Caenorhabditis elegans: one gene and its partners. The protein of the gene in region 1 purifies or fractionates together with the protein of each later gene. This does not show direct contact. Each region holds a gene or a part of one and is shown in the gene's direction. Other genes may lie near its edges. The genes, in order: aprt-1, clec-137, atic-1 and marb-1.

Evidence for each region.
Region 2: the proteins of aprt-1 (region 1) and clec-137 fractionate together in Caenorhabditis elegans (co-fractionation; one large-scale study listed by BioGRID). This does not show direct contact.
Region 3: the proteins of aprt-1 (region 1) and atic-1 fractionate together in Caenorhabditis elegans (co-fractionation; one large-scale study listed by BioGRID). This does not show direct contact.
Region 4: the proteins of aprt-1 (region 1) and marb-1 fractionate together in Caenorhabditis elegans (co-fractionation; one large-scale study listed by BioGRID). This does not show direct contact.

Annotation. Positions count from the first base shown.
Region 1 is NC_003279.8:5,675,309-5,683,262, forward strand, and holds aprt-1 (Adenine phosphoribosyltransferase), read left to right. Parts: upstream 1-3,329; 5' UTR 3,330-3,336; coding exon 3,337-3,428; intron 3,429-3,952; coding exon 3,953-4,280; intron 4,281-4,324; coding exon 4,325-4,462; 3' UTR 4,463-4,554; downstream 4,555-7,954. Other genes in the region: T19B4.5 (uncharacterized protein), read left to right, coding at 1-190, 313-384, 757-930; dnj-21 (Mitochondrial import inner membrane translocase subunit TIM14), read left to right, coding at 1,528-1,653, 1,703-1,847, 2,193-2,260; Netrin receptor unc-40, read right to left, coding at 5,058-5,171, 5,513-5,983, 6,039-6,139, 6,976-7,065, 7,115-7,498, 7,547-7,954.
Region 2 is NC_003280.10:4,613,991-4,621,703, reverse strand, and holds clec-137 (C-type LECtin), read left to right. Parts: upstream 1-3,613; coding exon 3,614-3,781; intron 3,782-3,833; coding exon 3,834-3,945; intron 3,946-4,000; coding exon 4,001-4,259; intron 4,260-4,310; coding exon 4,311-4,485; 3' UTR 4,486-4,552; downstream 4,553-7,713. Other genes in the region: clec-139 (C-type lectin domain-containing protein), read left to right, coding at 1-118, 239-350, 1,020-1,138, 1,184-1,290, 1,335-1,415, 1,467-1,542; clec-138 (C-type LECtin), read left to right, coding at 1,904-2,038, 2,087-2,198, 2,288-2,543, 2,602-2,776; clec-136 (C-type lectin domain-containing protein), read left to right, coding at 5,171-5,299, 5,354-5,465, 5,523-5,781, 5,838-6,027.
Region 3 is NC_003282.8:7,878,117-7,887,700, forward strand, and holds the start of atic-1 (Bifunctional purine biosynthesis protein ATIC), read left to right. Parts: upstream 1-3,911; 5' UTR 3,912-3,950; coding exon 3,951-3,972; intron 3,973-4,242; coding exon 4,243-4,490; intron 4,491-5,720; coding exon 5,721-5,832; intron 5,833-7,329; coding exon 7,330-7,421; exon of another isoform or gene 7,422-7,454; intron 7,455-8,709; coding exon 8,710-8,760; intron 8,761-9,584. Other genes in the region: srt-73 (Serpentine Receptor, class T), read left to right, coding at 1,201-1,258, 1,400-1,563, 1,615-1,719, 1,767-1,898, 1,946-2,053, 2,144-2,254, 2,556-2,752, 2,804-2,918.
Region 4 is NC_003282.8:12,206,206-12,213,737, reverse strand, and holds marb-1 (Isochorismatase domain-containing protein 1), read left to right. Parts: upstream 1-4,727; 5' UTR 4,728-4,730; coding exon 4,731-4,810; intron 4,811-4,867; coding exon 4,868-5,045; intron 5,046-5,096; coding exon 5,097-5,438; 3' UTR 5,439-5,550; downstream 5,551-7,532. Other genes in the region: phy-2 (Prolyl 4-hydroxylase subunit alpha-2), read left to right, coding at 308-378, 484-583, 1,145-1,198, 1,436-1,501, 2,199-2,297, 2,344-2,526; F35G2.3 (uncharacterized protein), read right to left, coding at 3,001-3,150, 3,197-3,481, 3,944-4,030; F35G2.1 (Sulfhydryl oxidase), read right to left, coding at 6,503-6,580, 6,625-7,188, 7,245-7,310.

The DNA of each region.
Region 1 (7,954 bases):
GACAACATATTATCGCGAACGACAACGACATGAAAAGACTATTTCGGAAGCCAGAGAAAATGCATTTTCAGCTAGAATTCGTCAGTTGGAGACTGAAAATCGAAAATTGAGGGATTCGATTCATGTGATGTATTATGGAAAGTTCAATGAGGCTGGAGGTCATAACAATATTTATCGAAATGATCATATGGTAATTTTCAGTTAAATTACATTTTATTAAATATGAATTACAATATGTTTTTTTACAACTTTCAAAATTGATAAAACAATAAAAATAAGATATCCCTTTTGCAAACATTTATTGGATTTCAGGGTCAAATGATGGTTGAAGAGCCCGAAGAGCATGTTGTTATTGAAGGACACGTGGGCAATAATCAAGAAGGAGTACGTTTTAAAAAAAAGTCTATTATACAAAAAAAAGAGCTTCAATGTTTTGAAATGCAGAATAAAATCTTGAACCTGTAAATTATTTTCTCAAAGCTATGTAAACGGAAAACCAATGACTGAGAACTGAAATTCCATTTTTATTACTAATTTATCTTAAAAGTACACCTTCTGGGGAAATGCAGTCGAAACTCTCCAAAAAACTTAACTGCTTTGTCATCGAGCAAATTTGGAAGAAAGTTTGAATTATTAATTTATAGTGAAATTACGAATTTAGTAAACATCTTGGTTTTTTTAAACTTATCAAAATGTTCGATTTTGTTTCTAAACAATAATAAAAAAGTTCGTAATAATAATAATAATTTATTTTAGGAAGAAGTTCCACAAGAGTGGATTGTCGAGGAGACTGTTGATGAACATCGAATGCATTTGGAAGGAATGGAAGCAGATGATCATATGGTTGAGGATCAACAACAACAGGATGAAGAACATGAAGATGTTAAAGATAAAAACTTGCTCGCTGGTGGAAGTGGAAGATCTGGATGAAATTTTTAACTTTTTATCTGGAAACCTGATTAATTTATTCGTTTCATCCTCTCTTTCATTCATCTATATTCTTCTGTTGTTAAATTATTCCTTTATGCCTACCGGAATCGCAAACTAATCAAAACAGACTAAACTTTACGAAACTACGGTCAAAAACTGTCACATTGCGTTCCAAATATTATTTATGTTTCCAATCCCAAATTTTGAAAATTAATTTACAAAATTCTCGGGTCTTATCGATTTCATCACTTTTCTGTTTAACTTTCCAATTTTTAAAATTTACAATTCTTTTTAATCTCACCTTAAGCTCCACAGGATCCCATTTTCATTCTTGATTATCAAATTAACATCTCTAGAAGGCAGGCCCTTCTTTCTTCCCACCCCCCCCCCCCCCCCCCCCACCTCTCTCATTATTCCCAGAACTAGTTTAAGAGCATTTTAAGCTACACTTTGAAATATCCAATACAAAATAAAGTTATAGTTTGAAATTTTTTATTCTGATGAATCTGTTGATATTTCCTGTTTAATACAGGTTCTGTACCTAAAAAGGATTACCGAAGATAGTAAATTCAAAATATTGTTTTGTAGAAAAATAAAATGACGGGAGGTTTAATTGTTGCCGGTTTGGGTCTCGCTGCAGTCGGATTTGGAGCTCGATATGTCCTTCGAAATCAGGCGCTTATTAAAAAAGGAATGGAGGCGATTCCAGTTGCTGGTGGAGCTGTTAGTGTTTATTTTTTGAAAGTTTTAATTTAAAAATGCCAAATTTCAGTTTAGCAACTATTATCGTGGAGGTTTCGATCAAAAGATGTCACGAGCCGAAGCAGCGAAAATTTTGGGCGTTGCGCCGTCAGCAAAACCGGCGAAAATTAAGGAAGCTCATAAAAAAGTCATGATTGTAAATCATCCAGATAGAGGTAATTAAAATTAATTTCTCTGAAATGAAATTTTAAATTAAAGTATCGTATTTTCGTTATCCGAAATGCAAAGTTGAAGGCGGGTCTCGCCCCACTTTATTCGGATTTTTCCTTTTTAAAAATTGCGAGCAAAATACTAAAAATATTTTACTTTTTAGTTTTAACCCCTCATACTTTAAAAAAAGTTAAGAAAAAAACCCTAATTCTTTTTCTCTTTTTTCCACTCATTTGCTCTTCTCACTCATGCTCAATGAAGCAGCAAATAATGAGTTACTCTTCCAAAATTAGCTTAGAGCTTCATTAAACATGAATTGCCAGATTTTAAAATGTTTTTCTCATTTTCAGGAGGATCTCCATATTTGGCTGCCAAAATCAACGAGGCCAAAGATTTGATGGAATCATCGAAAAGCTGATCGAAAAAAACTATTATTTCTTCTATTTTATGTTTTGTTTTCATTAGTGTGATGTAGAATCAATGAAATATCAGATTTAAACAGATTTTTTTAGAGTTCAAATGTGGATAGAAATACCAGATATAAATCTTCTTTTCGTGTTTTTTTAAAACTTTTCCCTCGGGACTTATTGAAAAGTCGGTTCTTTTCTTTATTTTTGAAAAAAAATTCAATAACTTTCGGTCATTTTTAAATTTCAGTAAAAAATTCCGATAAATCTGTAGTTCCTGTAATCTTTTACGATTTTTTTTTTCAATTTTCAAAAAAAAACACAATTTTTTTCAATTATTCCCTCAAAAAACAGCGAAAAATCTAACAGCATTCTTTTCCTTTTATCCTAAATAACATAATTCAAAATAAGAACTTTGAGCAGTTCAGACAATCTTATCTTAGATGTCTTATCAATTAATATTGATTTTTCATTCGTTATAATTTCAAATGATAAGCTATCAAATGTGTATCTTCTTGTTTGTAACCGACCAGTTACCATTTAAAAGATACTCAGATAGTCATACAAAAAACATTTATATAGGCGGTGCACTTTTCTCCATTTTTCTGAGTGGAAAAACGCGTAGTCACCACTTAAACGTCAACGGAACCTAATTTGATATCCGTGAGGGAGATGCTCCAGACTCCGCCCACTTCTTTTCTCTTCTCCCATTTTCTCTGCTTTCTCCCTTTCGTTTTTCATCTTTTATATGCAAATATATTCCTCCCTTCCACAATTTATAATGTGAACGTTGATATTTGGAATTAGAAAAACAAATTATTTTCAAAAGCCTACGCTTCTTCAATTAAAAATCACATGGCTCCTGAATAAGAATTGAATGAAAATTCATTAAAATAAAAATTCAATTTACCTCCAAATAATCTGTCTTTAAAATTTGTCACTTTGTCATTATTTTGATACCCTCTAATTTAATTGAACTCTAGTCGACATCATCGAAACCTTATTAAAAATTTATTATTTCTCTATTTTCATCTCAGCTGAGATCTCAGTTCAATATTTAATAATAAACATTTTTTGCAGACTGAAAATGACACTTCCACGTTTCGATCAAATCCGACCCAAGATCGAGCAACACATCCGGGAGGTGAAGGATTTCCCGAAGAAAGGCATTAATTTTCGGTATGCACAACACGTGTATTCAGCTCGACCAACGCCTCGAAAATTTTCAAAAAAGGCGGGAAAAAATATTTGAATTCGCCAAGAGGAATTTCACCGCAGCGCGTGCAAAAATGTCTGCATTTGCGCGTGACGGTGTTTGCACAAATTACACCGAATGGTCGAGCTGAAAACACGTGCACAACTTAAATTTTTATTTCATCGTAATTTCAAAAGATTTTGATATGCGTTCATATTTAGCACGAATTTATTCAGATGGGTCTCGGCGCAAAAAAAGTTTGTGGTAATTGTTTTGTAATTTTTCCTTGCATTTTTCACTTTTTTTCGCGTCAAGACCCATATGAATAAATTGATGTCCCTTTATGATGGCGTGCCAAAATCTTATGAAATTACGATAATTTTAAACAGTTTTAAATTATATCATTAATTGAAAAACGGGAAGAAGTTAGGATTTTTCAAAAAAGAAGGACAATAAAAGACACAAAAAGAGATAATTTTCGAAAAATCTAAATTTCTCTATATTTCAGTGATATAATGCCATTGTTCACAAATCCTCAACTCGTCAACGAGCTCTGTGTTGTCATTGCCGATCACGTTCGTCATACAGTTGGACACGTGGATTCAGTTGCTGGCTTAGAGGCACGGGGATTCCTATTCGGACCACAAGTTGCCATTCAGCTGGGTGTTCCATTTGTGCCAATCCGCAAGAAGGGAAAGCTCCCAGGAGCAACGATTGAAGCATCGTATGTGAAAGAATATGGAGAGGATCGGGTTGAAATTCAAGAAGGAGCAATTAAAAATGGGGATATTGTGTTCTTGATCGATGACTTGTTGGCTACTGGAGGCACTTTAAGAGTATGTAACGTTTTTAGAAAACATTTTAAAATTTTTTTTTGCAGGCTGCCACCGATCTAGTCGTGAAAGCTGGTGGAAAAGTCGGTGAGGCATTTGTTCTCATAGAACTGGCACCATTGAATGGTCGTTCCAAGCTTCCGGATGTTAATCTGACAACTCTCATCTCCTATGATAGCGCTTAATAACCATATCTGAAAATGACTGAAAGCTTCTCGATTGTTAATTCACTTGATCTAAATATAAATTGATTTTAATAAAAGTTAAAGTCTTTATCATTACAAACTTATTTCAATCTTTAAAAAAATGTGAAAGGCAAAAATAATAAAATCATGGAAAGAATGACAAGGGAGCAGCAGAGAACAGAGCAATCATTTGATAAATTATTAAAGAGAATGTTTTGTGGGCGATGAGAAATCATGATCAATTTGTATACCTCGTCATATGCAAGTGGGGGCTTGAAAAATTAGATGAACTGAAAAAAAAGGAAGACCGGAAATTTTGGGATTTTGAAACTCTTTCAAACGATTTTCAAGTCAATTTTTGAAAATTAACCAGAAATTCGTAATCAGGATTCAATACGTACTATAAGAACAGATAAAACAGATCAGTAGGAATACAAAAATTAAAGGATTTGTACATAGAAAATAATTGAGCTGAGCTTCAAAAAGAATGAACAATGACCGTAATGTAAAATGAAAGTGGGAGTTTTTTGTAGAAAAAGAAGTATAATTATGCAAAATTAATAATTCAAATTATCAAAAAAATACCAGATTATTATTACTTATCCATACTCGTCTCAAAATGCAAATTGTGCTGTAATTGTTGTAGATCATCAAGCATTGTGTCAAGGTTCTCAAGATGTGCGTTGAGATCTTCTGCCGAGTGTGAAGGCTGAAATAATTGACTTCATTTATAATAAAAATAGAACTATGCCATGTCCTCGTTTTTGAGAGAAAAGTCCGCGGTTTTTGAAAATTGGAAATTTTACGATAATTTTTTTGGAAGAAAATTTCAAATCATTTAATAATCCAGTTTTTTCTCGATATTTTTGGAGATATGTTTGAATAATTTACTGTCATTTTTAAATAGATTTTTTTCTAGATATCTATAGTTTACTATAGTTGTCCATAGATTCAAAAACTGACAATTTTCTATTTTATCCATAAAAATTAGAAATGTTTCAAATTTCAGTTCGTGGTAGGAAAAGTTTCAATTCAAAAAATTCAACTCACATTCATATTTGTGTTCATCTTCTCTCCATTCGATGAACCAGCTGTATTAGATTTAATGGGTGTGGTTTCTCTCATTTCCATACATTCTCCACTCTTTTTATCTGATTCTCCTGCATCAGAAGATGCAGAGCATGATGCAAATGGACTGTAGATATTTGCAACATTGACACGTGGTTGAGCAGTTGCTCTTCCAACTGGAACTTGCCGTCCACCGGCTGCAATAATAGTCGGTCGAGAAGATGATGATGCCGCAGAGTGTGGTGGAGGTGGTGTTGCTCCTGCCAATTGAGTGAATGACCGAAGAGCATTTGCAGCTGATGAATTTGGAGGTGTTCCACGTAGAGTACGGTATCCATCGATTACTGTAGGTGGACCAGAAGGTGGAGCTTGCATTGGGAGAGGCGGAGTCGAGGCGGATCCAATTGCAGATGATGAACCATAAGGACTTTCAAAGTCGATTCTTTGAATCGGCTGAAAAAATTCAAGAATTATTTTTTAAAACAATTAATTCAAAAATGACTCCAACCTGATGCCTTCCAGTTCCTGTATAAACCACTTGAGGTGTTCGTTGTCGTCCTTCAAGACTTTGTGAGCTTTGATGATAACTTCGTGTTAGAGTTCCTTGCCCTGAAAATTTCCGTTAAAAAAAAGGAAAAAATAAATGAAATTCTGTGTTCAAATTAGCTTTGTCAAAATGACTCGAAGACGTATTAAGGTTCATCGTTTTACTTTTGTTTTGAATAAACGACATATACCAAAATACGCCTTCTCCGTCCGTGTTAATGGAAAAAAACGTGTAAAGTAAAAACAAGGTAAATGAGAGGCTGGGAAATGGAAAAACAGCAACATTCACGTGAGTAAAAGTAAGAAAGTCTCTACATTGAAGATTCTGGACAAAACAGACATTCACGACACTTTGTAGATTGATATATTACTGGTAAGGATAGAAATATCAGGTTAATTGATATTTTGTTATTTTTTAAAGCAAACAACTAAAAATAAGCCAAGCAAAGCAATCCTTTTCACTGCAAATCGAAATATCAAATCTTGTGTACCGTGGACTCCCGTGACTACAGCCTTGGCTCTTGTAGTAACTGAAGGTCTTTCAATCCGAACTTTTGCAGAAACTAATGCTTCAACCGGCTCTTCATCTTCATCTTCAGTAGTTCCAATCGCGGAACAAATCGATTGTGCCATCGGTGTAGTTCTCGAGCCGGTACCTCGCTTTGGAGCTCGTGGTGGCCGACTTGTTAGCGGGCCTGATGCTTCACCACCACCTCCACTACCATGGATAGATCCATAAACCGAATCTGGTATGAAGACGAGAGATAAACTAAGGATATAAAGGGAAAAGAGGAGGAGAAAACTTAATTTAAGGTAGGCACAGTGGGAAGAAGATTGTTAGAGAAATAAGGATAATTTGATAAATATTGGAAGGAAGATAAGATCGAATTTAAAAATACCTTGTAGATGATGGTATCTAGGTGTGGGTGATTCAATGTCAGCAGCAGTAAGATGGGCGGTTGCTAGACCATCAACCATATAATCAGAAGCTGGAAATAAATAAAATTCTGGATAAGACCTAGATTGTGTAACACTTACCACCAGCTCTCATATGACTTCCAGTTCCATTAATCCATAAATCATTAGGTGGACCTCCAAGACCACCTATTCCACCTCCACTTCCAGCTCCGGCACTCGTCTTTTTTCCAGACTGATATCCATTCTTTCGCCCTCCACCACTAGATCGTTTCCAACAACACATTATGATAAGAATCAGTGTAAGGATCAGAATCAGAGCAAACGCAGCCAAAAGTATGAGATACAATGGGTTAGAGTGAAGAAGAGATTGAAGTTGATCGACTAAGGAAACTGTATCGCCAGAAGCCGCTGATCCATGCCCACGTGCATTGTGACGATCTTTTCCTGATAGAATAGCACCGCCTGATGGAGTGTATCCAACTACAGAAGAGAATGGGCCATGACCTGAAGAATAGATATTAAATATAAATTACCTAAAAATAATTCCCAAACCTTTCTCATTTCTTGCTTGAATCTTGAAGAAATAATTAGCTTTTGGAAGTAAATTGCTGACTTGATGTGACAACTTATCACCAGCTACATAGTTAATTGTCCAATCTTTGTCCGCAAGAGAAGCTCGATCCGTATAAAACACTAAATATTCTTCAATTTCTCCATTTGAATATTTCGGAGGTTGCCAATGAAGACTTGAAGAGTGAGGATCGCCACTTTCTGCAGGCAGCACAGTGAGATCACGTGGAGCTGAACTTGGTGGAGCCGCTAATGTTCGATTCCTGGTAGCCATTGACCAAGTACTCAACTGCCCATTTGATGCAACAGCTCTAACCGCAAACTCATACTCAGTAGCTGGTCGTAGTCCTTCCACAGTAGCCCATGTCTCGGTGCTATTCACGTATCTAT
Region 2 (7,713 bases), on another chromosome or scaffold:
CGGCGTTGTTGAAGCATCTAATGCAACAGAGAAAGAAGTTGTATGTCCGAAAGGATTCAAGTTGTATGAGAGGAAGCCGACGCAGAGGAATAAGTTCACGAAGAACTGGTGTATGAAGGTGGATTAAAGGAAATAATTTTTCAAAAGTTTAGTGGTTTATCGCGATCCCAAATTTCTGCCCGCTACTGAATTTAGAAATGAGACAAACTTAATTTTCAAATTAATTTTAATTTTTCAGGTAATAGAAAACGAGGATGTCTATGATCGACCTATCGCAAGATCAGTTTGCCTAGATTATGACGCAGTTATTACGAATGTCGAGAACCAAGAGGAGCTGGATGATATCAATGGTAAGTAGCTGCTCAATAAATAAGAGTATTGTTAATTAGAAAAATTATATGTAAAGTCCAACGGAACAATTTCCAGTTGACTAATATTTGCCTACAAGGTGACAGGCGCCTGCCTTTTGCATGCCCACTTACCTACTTTTCAATTGGCAGTTTAAATCTAATAGAAGGGTTTCGGTTGTGACGAAAATTTTTTTGTAGACATGCTGTTTTTCTACGTGGAATTTTTTCTAAATTTTACTGAAACTAAATACTTCAAATGACAAAAAAAGAAGACAGTAAGTAGGCCTGTAGGCAGACAAGTAGAATAGGGCCTACCCGCCCTTCTCGTCTCTTATTAAAAATACGATCGGCGTGATGCCATTTTACAAATTCTCGCAAGCTGAACAAACACCTGGAGGCAGCGATTAGCATTCGTACTATTTTGGAAAGCGAATTTTCTGGTTTTTTGAAAAATTTGGAAAATGTGAAAAAATAGAGCCGGCGGCTAAAACTTTTCTGAAAGTTATGTATTTACTAACATGCTTAAAGCCAATCACTGTTATCATTTATCAAACAAATTATGTAAATGCAACGTCATTGTTATTGAATGTAAATGCTAAAAGGCACAACAAAGCCGACAGAAACTGACAAACAACTTTTAGGCAAGTTAAAACTGAACACAAATTTCAGCTTTAATTCGAAAAAACAATAAACGAGTCGCAGTGGACGGAGTGTTCAATCCAAAATGCCGAGGTTTCAGCGACTGGCGAATGAGAAAGTTTGGAGGACTTTGCGCAAAAGAAAAAGAGGTTTTTGTTTCGAAAAGTGTGTTTCAAGTATCCCGATCGTTTTAGCTATTTATTCTGGAGGACGATCACACCGATCCAGCGTTCATTCTCACAAAGTGGTCTGGAGAACCGCCAACTTCATCAGACAAGTATCAGGAGAAGGGGGACTCTACGTAAGGAACCCAGTGGGATAAAAGCTTCATGTTCTAGTTTTCAGAGAAATTTTCACAATCGCTGAATGTCTATCTCTACATAATCTCCAGGCAATCAAGAATACTGGAAATTTGAAGGATTTTTTGTGAGTTTTTTTTTTGCAGGATTTTCAAACCCAAAACTAAAAAAATTTCAGGTGCGGCGAAGAACCAGACAAACAAGTCGGCGAGGTGCCATTCTTCGGAGTTCTGTGTGGATGTGCTCCAGTATAAAATTATTTAACTAGTGCCAAATGTATAAACAATTTTTGAATTTTTTGAAGATTTTTCAGAGAAATCTGTCCTCGAGGCACAATATAAATTGTTCTTACAATGTATGCCTAGTTTGAAAATGTATATCATGACTCGATTTTTTTTGTGTTATAAAAAATTTTCCCTCTAGAAAAAGTTGAAAAATAGGTAGAAAAATAAAATGCGTCATTTCCGCCCAGCCCCCGAGATACCGTATCATTTTGATGTATTCGGGGAATAATGGTTCCGCAGAAACGGAATCATTGAAGGGATGTACAGCTTTTTTATAGCTTTTGACTAGTACAAAAGCATACTGAAAGCTTCTTCTTGAACTCTTCATAACATGTTAGTTTTATTCTTACTATTCTTGGTTGTTCCGGCGGTTTCTGCAAAGGATCCAAGATGCCCAAAAAACTTTACTTTTGTCAAAAGAACACTAACTTTTAAGAATAATTTTACAAAGGGGTGGTGCTTGGGGGTACGTTATTGATAGAGACAGTACCCAGTTTTAAAATACACTTTCAAGATTTTCAATGGAACGGATGTGGGAAATCGTGACCGAGCCCGCTCAGTCTGTCTCTATCATAACGCTTCGCTGAGCAATCCAGAAAATTCACATGAACTTGAGATTGTTTCTGGTAAGTTGATCATGTTTTTTTTTAAAGACATGTCTTCAATTCAAAATCGCTAGGAAAAATATGCTTCTAAATGTGTAATTAATTTTTAGACGTTATTCGCGCACGGAACATTTCCCTCCCGATTGCACTCGACGGACAACTCTCTCCAAGATGCAAGGCCCTTATTTTCAGAGGCGAACAGAGCCAACAATATTTTGACCAAAGAACAGAGGAAGGAGATTGCAATATTAACAATCATTTGTTTGTATATGATGATATCAATACAGATACTTTATTTATCCGTTCCAAACTAGGTACTTCGGCTGGAACTAATGGAGGATACTCCAGTCAGGAGGACGGAGTAAAGTAAGTGTATGAAAATTTCTAGATTCAACGTCAAACAAGTCTAGAATTCAATTTACAGATTTCGTTTCACCAGAGATTGTAACGCATTAACAGATGCATACTATTACTTTTCTAATGGAACACATTTCTATGCGGTAGATGGACGAACTGAATTGCTCGGATGCTTTGGGGAAAAGGATAAGCAAAATAAACACGAATATAGTAGTGTTCTTTGTGGAAGATTCCCTCTCTGAGTTAATTGATCAGAAAAGACAGTTGTTAATAAATATTTTGGAGTTGTTGTTCGAATTCATCACTTGTGATTATATCAGAAAATACCAATTTTGCAACAAACATCAGTCGAGGATATGCATAATTTTCATAATAAGTATTTTTTGATAGCTAAAGATTGGAGCTAATCATATTTCAAAATTTACAGAGACAGGACTATTTTAAAAGTAAACTACCCTGTAACAAATCAAGAGTTTCGAAGCTTGAAATCAAAAAAAAACTTATTCTTGTAAATCATTTTATATTCTACCTCGGAAGCCGACAAAAGCTTGGTTTTAAAAAATCTAGCTTCAAAGTCTTGTTTTCAACCACAAATGTTTGTGTACATAAATTTTTGGATAGGTATCATAACAAGCAAGAGGGCCTTATGTTAGTCATAGGCTTGCACTCAGTTGCTCAATTTTGACGGCTAATAACTAGGTTGTGTTTTGTTTTACCAAAAATTATAAGCTGACAAAGAATGTGTTACAAATTTCTCTACAGTTTTGGTGTTAAATGTTTTTGATAAAAGGGCTGAAAATGAGGGTACTTTTGTTAGAATCTTTATTAGATCAGATATTTTTTTGTTTCAAAGCGCATGGTTTCAATATTCTTGACAACTTCTATCAACCTACGTGTTATATAAGAATTTCTTTGAATGAAATCATCCAACCTGATGAAGAAATATAATGCGTCGTTTCCGCTATCCAGCCCCGAGATACAGTATCATTTTGATGTATTCGGGGAATAATGGCTCCGCAGAATCGGAAACGCTACAGGGGGCGAACAACTGTTTTATAGCTTTTGACTAGTACAAAAGCATGCTGAAAGCCTTCTATGAAGTTCAGTATAAAATGTTAGTTCTATTCCTACTATTTTTGGCAGTCCCAGAATTTTCTGCGAAGGATCCAAGATGCCCGGGAAACTTTACGTATTTCAAGAGAACACCGACGGCAAAAAATAACTTTACAAAGGGATGGTGCTTGGGGGTAAGTTGTTCATATCAATGACACCTAAATAGTTTTAAAATGATATTTCAAGATTTTCAATGAAACGGATCTGGGAAATCGCGACCGAGCCCGTTCAGTATGTATCTATTACAATGCGTCGTTGAGTATTCCAGAAAATTCACACGAACTCGAAGTGATTTCTAGTAAGTTTTTGAGGATTTTTTTATTGCTGCATGCGGAAAAATGTAAAATTTCCAGAGACTGCTAGCTTGAGAAACATTTCCGTACCAATCGCTCTTGATGGACAACTCTCTCCAAGATGCAAATTCGCAATTTACAAAGGACAAGTAAAGGGTGCAAAACGATTTAATCAAACTTCTGAAGAAGGAATTTGCAATATTAAATATGAATTGTTCATATATGATGATATTAATACGGATACTTCATTCATTCGCACAAAGCTAGGTGTTTCGGCAGGATCAAACGTAAGAAGTGTACAAGCTGATGATGATATCGAGTAAGTTTTGAAAATCGACTTTCCTATTTGCATCCAACATTTCATTTTCAGGTATCGCAGTACAGCAGATTGTACCGTTTTGGAAAAAGGATCGTATCACTATTCTAATGGAACACTAAAAGATGGGCACACTAATTTGATGGATTGTATGGGACAGCTAGCTGGCTCCAAGAGGCTACCAGAAAAAAATGTCACCGCCGTTCTTTGTGGCCGATTGCCGTTCTAAGTAAATGTATTCTATCATTTCTGGAAAGATTAATTTTCAATATTTAATAAATATTATATTTCCGAAATCTTTCTGATATTTCTTATTACCTTAGCTGATTGAAAAGATAAGGTACACCCAATTTGTTTCCGCAAGTGAACTTCAGGTTATTCTTAGGCGACGAAAATCCCTGTGCGGGTTTACAATTAAATCATTTTCGCAACGAAACATTTCCTTTTACAGAGTTTTGACAAGTGTGTATACCATTTTTGTAAACTAAAAGTCAATTAATTCATCTTAACTTTCGTCTCGAACTTTTCGTTTTTAAGTTCCATCTTGTTGATAATACGGCCTAAAAATTGTAAAAAATTTCTCAAAGCTTCCTATTTTCTGTGTCAAGAAAAATCGGAGAGCTCTACATTATCTCTTTTTTGGCTTCCGGAAAACTTTTAGAGTAAATTTATAATGTATAATTTATGATAAACCTCAAGAAAATAGGTACAACAAGCATCTGCTACGTCCAAATCAAAATGTTTAGAAGAATAAATACTACGGTAGAGCATTTTGTGGGTGTTGTTGAACATCACGCTTTTGTTGAAACGATCAAATGCTGTCGGAAAATAATGGCTCCGCATGGCTTAGTCACAATTTTATCGATTTCAATAGGTACAAAACCCCGCCGAAACTTTTCAAAACTGACAGAAAAATGTTCGTTTTCTTTTTGCTATTTTTGACTGCGGTTTTCGCAAAGGATCCACAATGCCCAGAAGGGTTTTCTCATGTCAAGAGAGTCCCAACTGCAAGGAACAATCATACAAAGGACTGGTGTTTGGGCGTAAGTTCCAAGTTTTGGGTTTTGTGTTCATAATGCTTTATGACCATATTTCAGGTTTTCCAATTCAAGAACATGGGAAACCGAGACCGAGCTCGATCATTTTGCAGTTATGTGAACGCTTCATTGACCATTCCAGAAAATGAGCACGAGATTCAAGTGTTTTCTGGTAGGGATATTTTTCAATAAAAACATTTTCAGTGTTGTAATCTTCAAAAACTTTCAGAAATCGCCCGAGCTCATGGAATTGAAGCTCCTTATGCTGTTGACGGTCAAATTTCTCCAAAATGCAACGGTCGTATTAATAAAGTCGAAATCATACTTCGTCATCGATTCAACAGTACAGAAGAAAAAGGAGATTGTAATATCAAGAATAATCTATTTTTGTTCGATGATGTCAATAGTGACACTACATTCATGCTGAGCCATTACAAACGTCGACTTCCAGCTGCTTATATGGTTCATCAAGCTGACAATGGTCCAATGTAAATTAGACATAATTATCAAATAGCGTGAAATCATAAAAAATCAAATATTACAGATTCCGATTCGCCGCTGATTGCATTGTTCTAAAATCTGGAATTGTCAAGGCTAATGGCACAGAAACAAGAAAGAATTGGGGAAGTTTGGAGTTTTGTGTGGGAAAAAATGCAGTGCAGGCTTATACAGACGATGAAAAACCATATGGAAACGACGTGGAAGCAGTTTTGTGTGGAAGACATCCACTTTAATTGTTTTGAGAAACTTATAAGAAATGTGGGTCCTAGAAATGTGATGCACCTTGTCTTTAGTTTTGATTGAAAATTGTCAGCTGAAAAAATAAATTTCAATTTTTTCTATAGTTTTGTAACTTAGTATTAAAAAAATAACATTGAAATTCCCTACAAAACAGTGAAAACTGTAAAAAACAAAAGCGAATAAAAAAAATCTCGAGTCTCGTTTCCCCCATTATACATAAGTACATCAATCCCTATCCTTTCCAACATAGAAAAAAAACACGACACGGTCTATATGATGCGAATATTCGGTAATACGCGATTTAGAGATGATGGAGGAAATAGATGGGACTGGATTTTTTGTCAATTTTTTTTTACAGTGATGATGATTAACTTTTTATGGTTGGGAGGTTTTTCACTGTATTATACATATATATGAATGGTTAAGCAGGAAATGGGGGTTAAAGTAAGTGTGAAAGGAGAAGCCTAGTGACATCAGCAACAGAAGATGCCTGCCGGTGTGCCTTCAAGGCAATCTAGGCCTACCTCGTGCCAACAAACTCCTGAAGTAGGCCAGACAGGTTCGAGGTATGTATGTAGGTAAGCACACATGCCTGGAGCTTAATGAAAACTTTATGGCAAGAAAATGATCTAAACACATGCCAAAATACACTAAACCCCAAAAAAACGGGAACTTTCGAGAGGCCCAGCTGAGAGTTTAACACATTTTGTTGAAAGTAATGTGGGTTTTATAGGAAATCTCTAGCGATCAAACACTCCGAAAACTTTTGAGTTTCATGCATCTTTTTGTGACGTACTGGAAGATTTGAAAAAATTGGAAAAATCAACTGGCAATAAGACGTTTAGAAAAGATGATTGGCAAAAAATGAAACTGAACATTCAAGTGACCAAAATTTGCCAAAAAAAGGAAAAGGAAACATTAATTTATAATTGAAAGATACTTAATCTAATAAACACACGAAACCATAACGATCGTATGAATCACTGGTTTCGAGTGAAGAGAGAGAACACTTGTAGTTTTCAATTCAAGTGAGGTGTCGAGAGTATTGACACATTTATATGCACTTATTCTCATGTTTTTCAAATGGTTTGAAATGCTCACTTCCTCATGTGAAGGGTTTATTAAAGTTCTTGGAAGTTGTGAAAATTAATTGTAAGTAAAAAACTCCGAATTTGTGCGCGCACTTGAAAATTACGTTTTAATTCGGATTTAGGATTTTTGCAACTATGATTTTTTTCAACTGCTCAAAAATTTAATTTTGTTTTTGAAATTTCCAAATTTCTTGGAAACTTTTTAGGACACCGATGTCTTTTCAATCAATACAAATATGAAAAAAAAAAAAAAATCGCATGATCGAAGAGCGGATCGAAACGAAAATTGTTTTGTGTATGAGGGGATGAATGGGGGAAAATACAGAAAACCGAAACGAATTGAATAGAAAAAAATGAGTGGAAAGGGCTAGAGGACGACGGTCAGGATTATTCGTCATTCAAATGTGTGTGGAAGAGTAGATGATGGTCACCACCACTAGTCGTCAACTACAATTAGTCCCCCTCTCTCAATCTACTGGAAAAGAACGAGAAAATGAACACTTTTTGGGTGGGTTATAAGTGGTGTTGGTGTGTTGATTGGTTGGAAAAATGGATTTGATGGGTTCCAGTTATTTTACTGGACATTTA
Region 3 (9,584 bases), on another chromosome or scaffold:
GTTTTTTAGATAGAGATACCTAAATCAAAAAGAATCGCTCGCAGTTGAAAAATCGACTCTGAGAACGAAAATCGATCGTATGACCCCATACAACTCGTAATCGGAATCAAGGGTTTAGTTTCTGAATCCTTGACTTTCACTGCTAAAATCTTGCTGATCTCGAACAGAAAAATTTCATATTGCAAAAATTATTGTAAATTTGTTGCGTCAGCGTCCGCTTCCTAAATTGCAACTTTGAGTTTTCTACAAAGTTGATCCTTTTATTTTTTCTAGTTTCTCACGGAATATGTAATCATTTTTCTTCCTTTTGGGTGAAAATCACTGATGTTTGCTACTTAATGTCGGAAGAAATATACATTTTCAAAATGTTTGATCTTTAAACTTTGTGATGACGTCAAAACTCATTAAGAATCAATAATTTTTATTGTATACGTATTTTTCAAAGTGGGGCAGAAATAGGTGTTTATAACTTTACATACATTTCCACCTGGATCGGAAAATTTCGTACATTGCGAACGTGAACTGTTCCGAATTTGTTCTTCCGCTTTACTTATTTTTTAGTTGGTATTGTTCGGCAGTGACATTGATGTCATATAGATTCCGCACATTATTTAATTATAAATCTTTCAACATTCTAGTAAATAGCTTCAGCCTTTCTTGATAACTTTTTCCCTCAGAAGGAGGAATTCTGGTCGACAATCCGAATTTTTTACAATTCGATAAGCCAAATTGTCAAAAATTTTGAGACAATTTTCAACTCCTCTGGTTTTTAAATAGAGATACCTAAGTCAAAAAAATCGCTCGCAGTGGAAAAATAGATTCTGAGAAAGAAAATTGATCGTATGACCCCATATAACTCGGGGCGAGGGGTCGTTTCCCAACATTTTGTTACGTAGACTACCACAAAAATTATTGAAATAAACTTCAGTATTTTGTTAATATTTTCCTAGAACCCATGATCTTACACTAAAAAAATATCCGCGGAAATTGACAATTTCATTACCTTGACTCTACTCTATCCACATATTTCTCTTCATATTGGAATATTAATTTCATTTTTTGGGAGTTGCTTGTCGCTTCAAAGCACATCTGAGCAACTAGTCTTTACTTCCAATCTTTCATTTTTACCTTCGTATTTCGAATTTATATCAGGAAATATTTCAGTTCATTTTTTAATAGTACAATTTCTAAAAAGTCTCCATGAATAAGACATCAACGACAAGTCCTAATGAATTGTCATTGGAATTTGTTGGTGTCGGTAAGTTATTATATTAGTTTATTTTAAAGTTTTAAAGTTTATTAGTAAGTTTATTAGTTTAAAAATGCTTAGATGATCGTCTCTCTAGGATGCAATTCAATAACAATTTCAAAAATTGTTCAAATATAAAATGGTTTTCAGGTGTTGTTGATTTCCCAGTATATTCTAATGAAGACTATTGGCAGCGAGAAGTTCCATATGCAATTTTCATTCTAATTTTTTGTACTTTCTTTATAATTCTTCAATTTTTGGTAATGCGTGTTATGATAACTGACAAGGATTTAAAAAAGTTATCTGCATTTCAGGTGAGTAATATAATTCATGATTTGTTTCTTTAGCCATTGCGAAATGTTCAGATAATGTTTATGATATCTTTCTTTGACACAATTCAATTATTTATACATCTAACTGCAGTATTCTACATTTTAAATTCTAAACCTCACTTTGATTTTCCCGATTATGTATGTCTTCGTTAGCAGATCTTATCCTGATTTTTTTTTATTTTCAGTTAATCGGAGCTGTGATGAATGCATCATGGGTCTCAATGCTCATTCTCAGCATATTTTTAAATATTAATCGGCTCATTTCAATTGTTTTTCATTTTCAATCCAACAAAATATTTAATTCTTTCAATATGAAAGTAGGTTATTAACATGATTTATCTTTTTTTCAATTCCGTCCTTTCAGATATATTTCACTATAGTTCTAATTGTATGGTGTATAGTTTGTTTTTTAAATGCTTTTGGATTCAGTAGAATGGTTTATTTATTACCTGCTTACACGTGGCACTATGCCGTGAGTACAACTGTGAGAAGTCCCACTTTATGTTTGGCGAAAGCTTCGCATATTGCCAAATGATAGTCAACTTTTCAATTTTATTTCCAGGCTTCAAATCCATTATCAGCTGTATTAAGGTCTGTAAGTGCTGATATATCTTTAATAGATGTCGTATTCTCATTATTTGCTCATTTGGTTATCTTCAGTTATATTTATTTTGTGAGTAAAACATACATATAATTTCGTTTCAAAGAAAATTGAAGAAAAAAACTTATCGAAAACTGTTTCTACAGTATTTCATGCAAAAAACTTTCAAGTACAATATCATCTACAGCTACCCCATGATTTTCGAATTAAATTTTCAATTCGTCAAATCTCAAAACGTTTTAGGTATATGAAAAAAATTTCACAGTAGTCGCAAACAAAGGGCAGATATTTGTATTAAGAATGTTTTGAAACTTTTCATTTCCCTTCAGAAGAGCTAATGTTTCATTATTTTTCAACATTTGTTGATTTTCAGAAAGCAGCATTATTGTCAAAGAAAGAATTAATATTGACAATTCAAGTATTATGTGTTTCTATATTTCATGTTATTGGGTATTTGACATGGGAATATCTACCAATTCCATGGGAATTACCAATTGGAGTGTTCATTGGACATGTTGTATGGATGATTTGGAATTCAATCAATTCAATGCTTTATGTATTAATTAATCCGTAAGTTTTAGAACTTTGGTTGACTGAAAACATTTTTAAAAAAAGTTGCAGTCGTATTCGTAACCTGGTATTAGCATCAATTGGAAAACAAACAGAAGTCAGTGGACGTACAATGTTTGTTGCTTCGCACGTATCAACAGTTCGACAATCCGGAGCTAAAATGTAGTCAGGTCTTCAAATAAAATATAACTTTTAGTTTTTAGAATTTAAGAAATAGAAAGATATCATTAGAAAAAATAATTATGTCTAGAAATAAAAACAATTTATTTCTTGTCATCGATTTCCAAACATTTATTTATAGGTCCATGAAATCTAGACACAGAAATCTTTTTACATGAAGCCTAATTTACTGCTAACAACTGAAATGAGAGGAAACAGATCCTCTCGATATTTTCAATTTTAAGGAATATTCTGCAAGTATAGGTGGACAGAGTAAAAAAGCTTTTGTCAAAGTAAAACATTGATAAACTGATAACACACAGAAACAAATAAAAACCGTCGTAAAACAGAGACACCATCACTTCATAATAAAAATGTTTGTGTTTTGTTATCAAGGGAAACTACCGATTGAATTTTTTTTTGAAATTTTGAAGATTTTCTGGCAAATCGAGAAAAAAAAATTAATGTACGTATATCTCCAATTCGAAGCTTTGATTTTATTATAAGAACAGAGAAACATTAGATTTTTATTGGTTTTTGAAACACCAACACAGATTTCAAAGTTATATAATATTTGCGATATTTAAAATCGATTTCAAAGTTCTTTTTATTTTCTACTTCTGATTTTTTTTCGATTATTAATTCTTTCATCTACAAGCAATAAAAACACAATAATATTTGCCTCGTTATCAAATTTATCTTATCAATTGAAAAATTGAGCAACACTGTTCAATTTGACCAGTCTAAAAGACATTTTTCATTGAAAAAGTTGCCAATTTCTGAGTGTATTTTTCCAAAAATGTTCAAGATTTCAAAGTTCACAAAATAATACTTATAAATGCATAAACTCATGCTCTCCTCATCCATCGTTTTCCTGTGATTATCTCAAAAGTTTCTATTTTTAGTGTTTTTTGGTTCCTTGTTCATTTTTTATTTTGTGTGATTTTTACGTCTCGAATAAAAAATATTAAACAAAATGTTAGAAATTGAATTTTACAAGACTATCGACTTGATACAATACATCGACGAATTGTGTGAAATGACCGACGGAAAATCACTTGGTAAGTAATTTCATTTTGAATTTTTTTAAATTAATTTTTCAAGCAATCCCGGAATAAATATAATTCATTTCTATTCTTTAAAATTATTTATTGAACTAGACATTCCACCAGGTCGAGGCGTTACGGGGGCACCTCTTCCCCGCCTCTAACCTCACCCACCTCGCTCCTTGATTTGGAAAACCCTTTTTTGTGTATTTAACAAATGAAAACTACTACAATAATGAACTAAAATAAACTGCAAGTATAAAGCTAAACATTTTTAATTTTCAGCCATTATATCGGTCTCTGACAAGACAGGACTTATTCCTCTTGCTCATGGACTTGTATCTGCTGGCTTAACACTTATTGCGTCCGGTGGAACAGCGAAAGCGATCAGAGATCAAGGAATTGATGTTCATGATGTGGCAGATGTAACAAAGTTTCCTGAGATGCTTGGTGGAAGAGTTAAAACTCTGCATCCTGCCGTTCATGGAGGAATCTTGGCAAGAGATACGGAAAGTGATCGAAAGGATCTAGAGGTGAGATAGCTTATTTTCTTTTTTTTTTGAATTTTTTTTATTTGTAAACTAACTTGTTTGTTGTCGAACCGTTTTCAACTGAAACTTGCAAATTATATTAAGTGGAAATAAATAAATTTGCAACATTTGTGCAAAACAATTCTGACAAAAGATCGGATTTTGTAGAACTTCCGGGAATCTCACAAAATGAACTTTGTACTGGCTTGAAAGATTTCACCATTACTTAGTTTAATCGAATTCATGATTGAATAGAATGAAGTGAAGAAAAAAAACCAAAAAAAGAAGGGCTAACGGGTGACAAAAAGTTGGTCCTTTCGTCAGATGAAGAAGGCTTATCTCGTGAAAATAAAGAGTTGAGAAGGAGACAAAAAGAAGATTAGAAGACAATTTTTCGTCCTCTTTTTCTTCATTTTGTCGTCACGACTTCATTCAAATTTCAATTCTTATTTCGAATTATATAATTTTTTTTTAAATAAACATTATATCTCGCTTTTGTTTAAAAAAAAAGTTAGTCTAATCTGAAACTTTGACAATTGTTTGTTAATTTTTTGAAGTTGGATTACAATTTTTTGGAAAACGGGTTAGAGAGTTTTTTCGGATTTTTTTGAATCAATTTTTTGTTACTTGCGCATTTCGCAACCTATGTCTTGCCTCTTGTTGGGATTAAAGTGCCAGCCCTGATGGCTAGAACACTTTGAGACAAAGTTGAGATATGTCACCTTTAAAATTAAATTATTAATTAGAAACCGAAAAAAAATTTCATAAAGTTAGCGTTCAGTTGAACGGAGAACGGCAAAATATTAGTCAAAAAACTTTGTTTGCCGGAAAATTGTATTACAGTCATATTGCATTTCAGGATAAACATTGAATCTCTGAGATAATCAAAAAATAATACTCCAGGAACATTATATTATTTGAAATTCTATTGTGTATTTTTAGAAATATTTTATCAATTCAGAGTGAAAATAAGATTTTTGTGAGATAATCTGTAAACCTTCAACTTTCGTCATCAACCATAGAGTAAAATTAAACTTGGAACATCCATAAAAATTGGCGTAAAAATCAACGAACACAACTGATTGGGGTGTTGTTATGATGCACCGAGAGCAAGCCTACGTGTCAGTTTCTACCGCCCGTGTCTATTCAATTACCTTCTCTTTCTATTTTCAATTGAATTTGTTTCATCTTCTTTTCCTTCCTTGTATTTTTTGGTTATTTTCTTTCTTCCAGAAACACAACATTTCATTCGTCTCAGTGGTGGTTTGCAACTTGTATCCATTCAAAAAAACTGTTCAATCCAAGGATTGCTCTGTAGAAGAAGCTGTTGAGAACATTGACATTGGTTCGTTTATTTCTTTCTTTTTTTGAGTTTATTCATCCGGAAAATTGACTTTGTTTTATGTTGCCATCTTTCTTTTTCCCCTTGTTCCTTTTGATTTCAATTTATGCACTTGACTTATTTTGCTCCTTTCGTGACTTCTAACCCTAAACCAAACATCAACATTTTTTCACAGGAACAGCTTAAATTGAAATCAGAAAATCATTTTAGCAGAACTTCATAACCAAAACATACGGCCTAGATTAAAAAGTTGAATTTTTTCAAATTTAAAGTGTTCATCCTGTTTTTAAATAAGTTACCAAATATTATAGTTCATTGGAATAGCATATAATTTTAAGGGGTGTAATTCTACTTCAAGCTAATAATTCAATCAAGTTAAAACGGATGTTCGTCAATGAAATAGACCATTCTTGCATTTTCAAAGACTTACAATGTTCAATTGAAAATAATTTAAACATTATCAAAATATATTTTTTGTATAAAAAATAATATTTCGGTCGCCTTCCATTATTATGATAGGGGGAAAATTGTCACTTTTGGATGAAAATAAAAATTCAAGATTTTTGATAAGTTTTACTATGTTATGTAATTCGTCATTTTAGCATTAGTGAATGATTTAATAATTGGCAATATTATCACATACAATACTATGATCAAGTAGTTTTATTTGAGCTAATTGAAATATCAATTTCGTGAAATTGGGCACGTTCAGGTTCTGAAAAATCGTTCTCTACTTATCACTGTGAAAACATGTATGTATTGTTCTTCTCCCTTCCTAAATCCTTTCTGACACCAAAACAATTATATTTTCTTCTTGTTCGTCTTTTTTAGTTCCTCAAAATATAAATTCAATTAACACGGAAGCTGGAGAATTCACAAAAAAAGACAATACAACCAACAAAAAACTGAGAAAATAATAATTCGTTTACACTTTCATTCTATACTTCCTCTCAATAAGTTCATATAATCTGTGATCATCTTCAGAAAATTCTTTCAGAAACATTTAAAGGAGCAAATCTTACGAATGCATCATTTCGTAAAGCTTGAGCTCTAGTTTTTGGTATCATTGAAATTTCCATATTATAACTTCTAATCGAATGGTTTTTTTAATATTAAAAAAAGGATAAGGTTATAGACATTTTATGATCTTAGCACAAAGTACAAAAAAGTGGAAATATTCGTTCAATTGTACCCATTGTATTTGTTTTTCCAACCGTTTCCTACATTTTTATCCCATTAAAAGGGCTTTTGTTTCATGAATCTTTCACCTTTTTTCCTGTTTTTCCGGGTATGTAAAACCCGCCCAGATTTTTTCTAGAATCTATATCACAATATAAACTCATATTCTTAAAATGTTGTTGTGTCCGGTTTTATTATTAATTGTACAGTAGGACATCAGAGAGTAAATCTATAAACCTTCAATTGTCCCCGTGGGTCCATTTTCATTGTAGCTATAAAAGAGAATGAAACGTTCGATTTCAACTACATTCTCAATTTCAGGAGGAGTCACGCTTCTTCGAGCAGCTGCCAAGAATCACGAACGTGTCAGTGTGATCTGTGATCCTGCTGACTACGATCATATCATTTCGGAGGTTAGTTTTAGATGGTTAATAAATCATCACAACCGATGAAAGCTTCAATAAGGCCAGTAAATAAATATGTGGGAAATAATACTAAGCTACTAAATTACAATGATTAAACATTGTTATCAGATATTTATATGATTTTTTTTCTACAGTTCACTTGCCAGTTTTTTAATTTTATTGAACATATTTTGAGCCAAAAATTTACTTGTTTAGAGATTATTCGGAACCAGATAACAATTTCGGATGTTTCCAAAAAGTTTCATGATTTTGAGAACAACTGGAAAACCTTGGATGTGGTGAAAAACGTTCAGATTTCACTTCTCGCTCCAAACTTTACGAATTTTAAAACAAAAACTATGTTCATTTATTGCAATAAGCCAAAGTCATGCAATCTGGTTTTTGAAAAGAAAAAAATTTAATTGCAACGCCGAAAAAATAGTACCTGCTCGTCCAGTATTAGTAAAAGCGAATGCTGGACGTCCTATTAATTCCGGTTTGACATCCCTAACTAAACAAATTTCAGAACTATTTTTTTCAAGTTAATTGTGATTTTCTGTCACTACATTTTTTAAATGCACATTACGTAGGCTCTAAAATGAGCACAGACATTTCCTTGTTCATCGATTCGTTCTTCAAACGATGTTAAAGCTTCTTGATCACAGCAATCCACAAATAAAAACAAGGATCCTTCATATAACTTATCACCACGCTTTTCTTGTATTCTCTTTTTAACCCGAAAAGCCAAAAAAAGGGAGATGAAGCTAAAAGAATGAATGAAATATTTTGACACGCTCCGCAAGTTCCTTGAGGGAGCCATTTGTCGTCGAAGACCCTTACCAACCCACTTTTTGGTTAAAAAAAGAAAGAAATATCTCAAGAGAACACCAACTCTTTATAAATGATCCAAAACTGGGTGGACGGCGACGTCATAAGTTTTTTCGTGTTAAAGCCTTTTTTTCTATTTTCCTATTTTTGTTACTTTACCACGTTTTTCTGTTCCTGTTTTTAAAAAGTGGAAATTGCTCTCTTGAGAGTTTTGCAGTGGTTCCAGTTCTAGAAACTCATGATTTTCTTGTCTTTTAAACATTCCACGAAAAATTTTTGAGGTTTTCTAAGAAGTCGGTCGAATAATCAATTCCAATCTTTTTTTTTAATATTAAATTAAAAATAATTTATAAACAGATCTCAAAAATATTCTTAGATCACTCAGATATTTTCACAGGTGTTTCTAAAATTGCCATACAACCTATATATCTAAACAATCAGCGTCAACGTCTAAAATTAAATTTTACAGTTAAAATCCGGAGGAACTACCCGCGAACGTCGCCAACTTCTAGCCTTAAAGGTGAGTCAATTCAATTTTTGGTAAACCAAAGTTTCAGATGAATGTCACCCAAATCTTTTTCTCAGTCTTTTTCTCTCAATGAGACCTTAGTCTCATTCTATCTGTCCTAATTTTTCAAAATGATGAGTGAAAATGGGACACAACCCAAAAGCGGTAATAAACTTTGTGCAGAAAGATTTTATGGAGCCCCACGATGGCCAAGAGAAACTAGTTGACGCGCATTCATTCTTTTTTTTCAGCTTTTACATTTTTTTATTTTGAGACATTGTTTAAATTTACATTTGATTTTCTTTAAATCTTCGACTCGATGATTATCATATTTACTAAGTTTTTAAGTTTCTATTTCTCGAGAAATCCATATAAAAATGAGAATAGAGAAAAATTCTACTGGTTATTGTGTTCTACACTAATTTATCATTCTGTTTTCAAAGGTTATATTTGTTGAAGTTTACAGCAATATTCGTTAATCAACAAACACTGGCGAAGAGACCTCACAAAAGGCCTTATAAAAAAATTTTCCAGAAAGTGATAACTTTAATAAGAAGTTTGACAAGCGTCGCCCAAGTCTTGCTCAAGTTTCACCTTGGGTTTTTTTTGAATTTGAATTTGTGAAGTTCAAACTTGGAATTTAAAATTATATGTCAATCTCTTGAACTACTTTTACTTAAAAAATAAAATCTCTGATTAAGAAGTTGGCATACCTTTCAAGTAAGACTTTTCTGAATCAAATATGATCCAACTTTTACTAGTCTTTCATACAAACTTTATCAATGAAATGATTTTAAAACATGGATGTTGGATCATATTTTGGTATGGTATGTGCA
Region 4 (7,532 bases), on another chromosome or scaffold:
GTGGTATTTCTGAAATTCTGACTATTTTGGGTATTTTAGTACAATCTTCCCACTCACGCAACTATACCTTTCAGTACAATACTGAAACTAGAAATTGTATAATTTTAAGCTAGAACGTGCTACAGTAAAGGATTCTGATGGTAGCCTGGTTACTGTAGACTATCGAATTGCCAAGAGGTGAAAGGTATTAAACGTTTAACTGTACAGTAACATGCTGTGAACTTAGAAAATTAGATATTTGACTTACTGATTTCTTTTTCAACTTCTATTCTTTCTCCTTTGTTGCCTGAAGTGTGTTATTTTTTAGCTGAAGCGAGCAACTGTCCAAAATTCGAAAACTGGCGAGCTGGAACATGCCACGTACCGTATCTCAAAAAGGTTTGTGCTTAAGTTTTTTGGAACGGTTTTGTTTGATTTATTTTGAGTTGAAAGATTAACTAAATCAAGTTGATTATCAAATTTCTTGAATCAAAAATGTTTCAGTGCTTGGTTGAAGGGAGATTTGGATCCAGTTATTGATAGAGTCAACAGAAGAATTGAAGATTTCACCAATTTGAACCAGGCTACTTCAGAGGAGCTTCAGGTAAGCAAGAGCCCTGCAACATGGCTAAGGCCTTTAAGAAGGCACATAAATGCCTGCGTACCTGCCTCATGCCTTTATGATAGGCGTTAGATAGGCAGGCAGGCAGGTACGTGCTTGCCGACTTTGTGTTGAAACGGAAATGCGCACTATAGTTATATATTTTCCTTGTGAAATCCTCTCGGGCAATGAATTTACATTATTTTTTCGAAAGTTGCCAGTTTCTCGTAATTTTGAGAAAATGTAAAATGGGGATTAAATTATTTCATAGACTTTCTTGATAAACTTTTAATTTTCAAAGACAAAACTCGAAGAATTCTTGAAATTCTAAAAATCGAAAAATCGTTTAAAATTTCCATTTTTAGATATTTTCGTTTTTTTACAAAAAATTGAAAATTCCTTGTGTCCATTTTTGAGTTTTCTAGGCTAGTCACATCAGCAAAAAGGTCTAAAATGCCTTCAATGCCTACAGCCTAGAATATAGGCATTAGAGGATTCCCCAAGTTTTACTAAAAATATTAATTAAAGTTTATAATATTTTCAACAAAATTGTTGCTGTTTCAGGTAGCTAACTACGGTCTTGGAGGTCACTACGACCCACATTTCGACTTTGCCCGGGTAATAACAATTTTCAATTCTTTTTTATAATTTCAGATTGCAAATTACGGTCTCGGTGGTCACTATGAACCACATTACGACATGTCACTGGTTGGTTTACTGCCTTCCTGCTGACTTGTCTTGCTGCTAATTTTCAGAGAAAAACTGCCGAATCGTACGGTGGAAATGGTAATCGTATTGCCACTGTGTTATTCTATGTGAGTTTTCGATTCAATTTTAATTTTCCGTATTTTATAGAAAGAAGAGAAGAATGCATTCAAGACGCTCAATACTGGAAACCGAATTGCGACTGTTTTATTCTATGTGAGACATGTTTCATTTATAATTAATGGTTAATAAGATTCCATCACGAACTTTTTATTTGCATGAAAATTCTTTAGCTGTTATTGCATGAGGTGTGCTAATCCAAAAGTATGTGATGGAATCTTAACGTTTGAACTTTTAAATTTGTGATTTTAGCGCGTGGGAGCTGTGAGAAAACGGAAAATTTTTAAGGGGTCTTAAAATTTTACTGTTGATATTTAAAAATGAGGTTTTATAGTTTTTTGGCTCTATCGAACAATTTTTATTATTTAATCTAATAATTATCTTCTTTTTATGATTGTTTAGCTGAAACTGATGTATTTTCTAATGCCTACTTCTGGAAATTCGATAAATTCGAAACTGAAAATAACAATATCAAAATTTACTTTAAACTCAAAGAGCAAAAATCGTTCAAAATATAGTCAAACATTCACTCTCAAGATTTTGATTTTTTTGAAATTTTCAAACTTATTGGGTTCATAATTTTTACAAATAAATAGATGAAAAAATAGTAATATTTGAAAAGTTTACAAACTGATGTTTATATCCTTTTGGTACTGACCTAAATTACGAGAAAAGTGTGTGTGACGTCACATTTTACAGACGCGAAAACCCGACAGTTACTGTAGATCAAACACATTGTCAGATAACTAGAACGAACCCTCTGTTTCTCCTTGAACCAAACAATTTTTTTCAGATGAGTCAACCAGAACGCGGAGGAGCAACCGTCTTCAATCATCTTGGAACTGCTGTATTCCCATCGAAAAATGATGCTCTCTTCTGGTATAATCTTAGAGTAAGTGTTCATTTCTATTTTTCCTCGCAATTTGGAAATATTTCAGAGAGATGGAGAAGGAGATCTTCGTACCCGTCATGCTGCTTGTCCAGTTCTTCTAGGAGTTAAATGGGTCTCAAATAAATGGATTCACGAGAAAGGACAAGAATTCACAAGACCATGTGGATTGGAGGAGGAAGTTCAGGAGAACTTTATTGGAGATTTGTCCCCATATGCCAATGATCCATAGATTTGATTTTTTACTCTCTTTTTTGTTTTTTTTTTTAATTTCATTGTTGCTTACTGGTGTTTCACGGTTCCAATATTTTATTTGATCGCCAAAAAATGAAAGTGTTCTGGTTTTAAAGAATGAGTTTTTGATATTCTGAAATCTAAATTCAAAGCTGTTTATGCCTGCTTCATGCCTGCCTACATCAAACCTACATCAAACCAAGATTATAGTCATGTCTACTTCATGACTATAATCTTGCCTATCTATGTTCCTACCTATTCAAAATATAGTCCAACATTTAAAAATCCTGTGAAAAAATCACGGTTGTGGCTTGGATTAAAAATGATTCGATTCAAATCAGCATAAATATCTCCCTACGTGCCTGCCTGCCAACAACTCTAACAAACATGTAATTGTACCTGATACATACAGTTTTTCCTTGCCATACTTTATTAAGTTAATCAAAAATTATTTCAAAATTATATGGACAAATTAAATATTATTAACTTTAAAAAGACTTTTAATTTTATTATTTTCCTTATTTTCTTCTTCACTTCCTTGCAACGCACTCTTTAAGTCATTCTGGAAATTTGTTTTGTTGAACTCGATCTCGAATTTAAGCAGTTCAATCATTTCGTTTTTCTGAAATTATAGTTTTAAAATTTAATTCCATGTAAGAAATCCGAACCTCTTTAATAATCTTTCTGGCTTGTACCAAATCATCAACCAACTCATTTGCATCTTCCTCCGCAAATTCCAATGATTCCAGTTTTTGGCTCAATTCCTTTATCACCTCGTTTCGCTCTTTCAGTTTTCTCTGAAGTCCACCAATTTTTGCCACAAAATCTCTTTGATGCATTCGAATTTTGATTAAATGATTGCTGATTTTACTTCTCTCTATTTTCATCTCCTTCTGGTGCTCTTTAATCATTTCCTCACTAGACTCGCACATTAATTTTAGTTGGTAATGAGCCTGCAAACGTTGTATATAAAAAAGAATGTCAAGATGCCTGCCTACATGCCTGCCTACCACCTAGCTCTATACATTTTGGCATGCATTCAGGAATTTAGTGAACCTCTAGAAAGTAAAACTGGGAAAATTTCCAAAGAAAATTTAGTTAATTTTCACCAAATTTTCGAAAGTTTTTTTTTTTAAAGTCAAACATTTTCCAATAAAATATTTCGCATTTTTTTCAAAAAAAACACATTTTCCCAAAAAAAATTCGATCCGTTCTACTGTCTATTTTAAAATTTAATAAATCTTCTCAGCTTTAAACACCTCTTAATTTTTTATGAGGGGCTCCAATAAATAGCTTGAGGGGAACACGATTATTGGAATTTACTTTTGAAATTGAGAAATTTTCAGACTCTCGAGAATTTCATTGATAATGCTAATAAAATATTCAAAAATATAAAAAAAAACAACAAAATTTACCTTTGCCTTTTCCTCAACTATTTGCAACATTAACAGAGCTACAGTAACCGCGTACAGTAACCCGAATAGAATCGGGAAATTATCCATTGAAAGTGTCATATTCCCGTCTTGAAAGATATTAGTTAACCACGACATTATAAAATAAAAAGATTGTCTTATAAGATAAGTAACAAACGAATGAATGAGCCGGTCGTCTTAGTCAACGGGTCAAGTGTTTCAGCCGCGTTCGTGAATCAATAAGAGCTGGAATTGCCTCCTGGCATTAGTGACTGTAGTCCACACTTTCTACTGCCTAAATTATCCATACAGGGCAATGTGATCAATTGATCAATAGGTTATTAAATATAACTATTTTATGCAGTGCAGTGTTTCATCCTTTTGGGAAAATTCACGGAATCAACAGGTGAATTTATGTTTTTTAGGGTGTGAACACAAATTGTTAATGTTATAATTGTCCTGGAGAGCCTTTAAACATTTTACAATTAATATATTATAAATAATACGTAGAAAATCAGTATTTGAACAGGAAAGTAGACATTTTAAAAATTTGAAATTTGAAAAACCGCCACAAACTCAAGCAACGACACTCCGAGATTACGAATCGCGCGTTGTTTACCGTAAATTTACACTAATTTTTGTTCTCTGAAATTTTTTTTTAATTGAAAAGCCGTCCATTTATTTATCTTTTTTTGTCAAATCCTTGTGTTTTACGTGGATGTTTGCATTTGTTTTTTATTTATTTAATTTCGAATCACTCAACTTTTTATTGATTTCTGTTCCTCAGGTGATGGCTGCGCGTAAGCTGATCGCACGTATCAACCCAACGAACAGTGCTCTTTTCGTCTGTGATCTTCAAGAGAAGTTCGCGTAAGTTTTGAAAGAAACTAGTTTATGAGCAAAAATAATTTATTTAATTATTTTCAGGTCAAATATCAAATACTTCCCAGAAATCATTACAACTTCGCGTAGATTGATCGATGCTGCCAGAATCCTGAGTATTCCAACCATTGTTACTGAACAATATCCAAAGGGTCTCGGACACACAGTTCCAACTCTCAAAGAAGGTCTCGCCGAGAATACTCCGATCTTTGATAAGACGAAAGTAGATTTTCAGATTTTTGTTCATAATTCAGTCTTATTCCAAAAATTTCAGTTTTCCATGTGCATTCCTCCAACTGAAGACACTTTGAAGAAAGTTCAAAATGTGATCCTTGTCGGAATCGAAGCACACGTATGCGTTCTTCAAACTACATACGATCTTTTGGAACGTGGCTTGAACGTTCATGTCGTGGTGGACGCTGTCAGCAGCCGCAGTCACACTGATCGTCATTTCGCTTTCAAACAGATGGAACAAGCTGGAGCTATCTTGACAACTTCTGAAGCTACCATTCTCGGACTTGTCGGTGGATCGGATCATCCAAAGTTCAAGGAAGTTCAGAAGTTGATCCTTACTTCAGCCCCTGATACTGGCCTCGTCCCGTTGTCGAAGCTCTAAATGTTTTCCGTTTACGGCTTCTTTTTTTGCCATGTAGATTTGTGTTTAGTACCTCACTATGTGTAATTACAGCATTTAACCGGTTTTCGTCCCATAAATTATGGTGGTAATTTGAGTCTTTTTGCAAAACGTTTCTTTCATCGCATCTCCTTGCCACCGTTTGACCATCACATCATGTTTCAAAAGTGTGGGTAAACATTCCGAAATTCGCGGAAACGAAATGCGCTTTGAAAATTTCAAGTGGCTCACACAGTAGAGCCCGCTAGTCCATTGACCTCCAATGTTTGTAGTTTGCGAAAATGATGGTGACGATGGTGCAAAGAAAACTTTCAGTTTTTTTTTTCAGAAAAGTCAGGTTTGTACAACACACATGCCACCACGTGGCAATGAAAAAGGCAGAGGCAACAAATAAATTGGAAGCAGAGACAATAAAATGGGTGGGTGATCTGATCTGTTGTGACGAACAAAATGATGATGATTGGATTCGCGAGCTGTTGATGAAATATGCAGAAATGAATCGAGAAAAAGAGAAGAAAAATACCCAAATATTCAAACAGACAGACGAAAAAAATGTTTTCCTGATTCGAGGAACGTGTTTTCTAAGTGGAACGACGGCAAAATATGGGTTGGTCAGAACGAGAGAATGAAGAAGCACAAAGTGAATATAGTATGGGTGATGTGGAAGGGGGTATGCAAAATTGGAGAGAGAAATGGAACCCGCATCAATGTAATACAAATTGTGTGTGTGGTCAGGAATCATGATGGGAATCTAGTGGGGGAAATGAATTAAAAACTTGGACAAAAAAAACATCTAATCGATCGAAATCTGGAAAAAAGAAAATAACAACTGATCGGGATTGAAGACGAGTAAAAAGGGGTCGAATGATAGGAAGTATCAGGTGAAAGTATATGTTCGAGGTAAAAAAGTCGTTTCTTGTTATAAATTGGGGGAGAACGAGCTAGGATTGCAGGCATTCTAGAAGGCATCTTGAACTTATATAAATACGAAGGAGATTATTTACATCATTATATAAGTCTTTTGAAGACTATTAAAATAAGTTCGTTCAGAAGGCGAGACGTTGATCTGCCAGTCGATTATGTGGTTTGATGCTTCCATAATAGCGGAGTAGGAAGTTCCTTATCTGAAAAAAAAATTATATTTTTCAGAAATGCCAAAAAAACAAACCTGCCGCCGCGAAAACTGTCCTCCAGAATGACACGTTGGACATAAGAAAGGTGCTGGGAACTGCATTTTCGTGAATTGTGGATCTTCTGTCGAGTCACCATGCAACCGATTGTTGACAATATTATGAGCTCTCCAGAGATACGTCATCATATCGTGTGGATGACGAACTCGTCGTTCATTCAATGGGAACAGTGTCGTCGTCATATGCATGAAATGATTACGACAGTGTTCACATCCGAAATAGCTCTTCACCCATCCCTGAATTGTGCTCAGTGGTTTCATTGGATTCACATAGTCATCTTTGATTGTATCAATATATGTGTGAACAGTAAGAGCGTGGAACGTTGTCCATAGACCACATGTGTATCCACGATACATTGGAGATGATCCTTTACAGTGTTGCCATGTCGAATTGACTGGGAATGGGCTGGCGTAGACACGTTCCACACTTTCGAATTGTCGACGATATTCATCAGATGAGACAGAACCAATTGATTTGCGACCTTCGAGGAATTCGCGCATGTGTGTGAACACAAGACGAGCTCTCTCAGAATTACGAAGAATCTGAAAAATATTTAAATTTATTCTTGGAAATTATTTTCAATCAAAAGTTTACTCACCACAGACGTTGTTCTCTTCGCGCGCATTCTTCTGATGTCATTTTGGAAGGAAAGAACCGGGAAGTGCTGAAAAATGTCGAGATAAAATATTTTTTGTAAATTTTTATAGCATCCAAAGCCAGGGTGTTGGTTTTTCGATTTTTCACGAAAATAGGAATTTTCGTTTTTTCCAATATTTCGAAAAAATTTCGATTTTTCTGAAAATTGGAAAAATTATATCTTATGTTTTTTCTGATCAAAATAAACGAAATTCGATAAACTTTTTATTGTTTTGTTGAAAAAACTTTT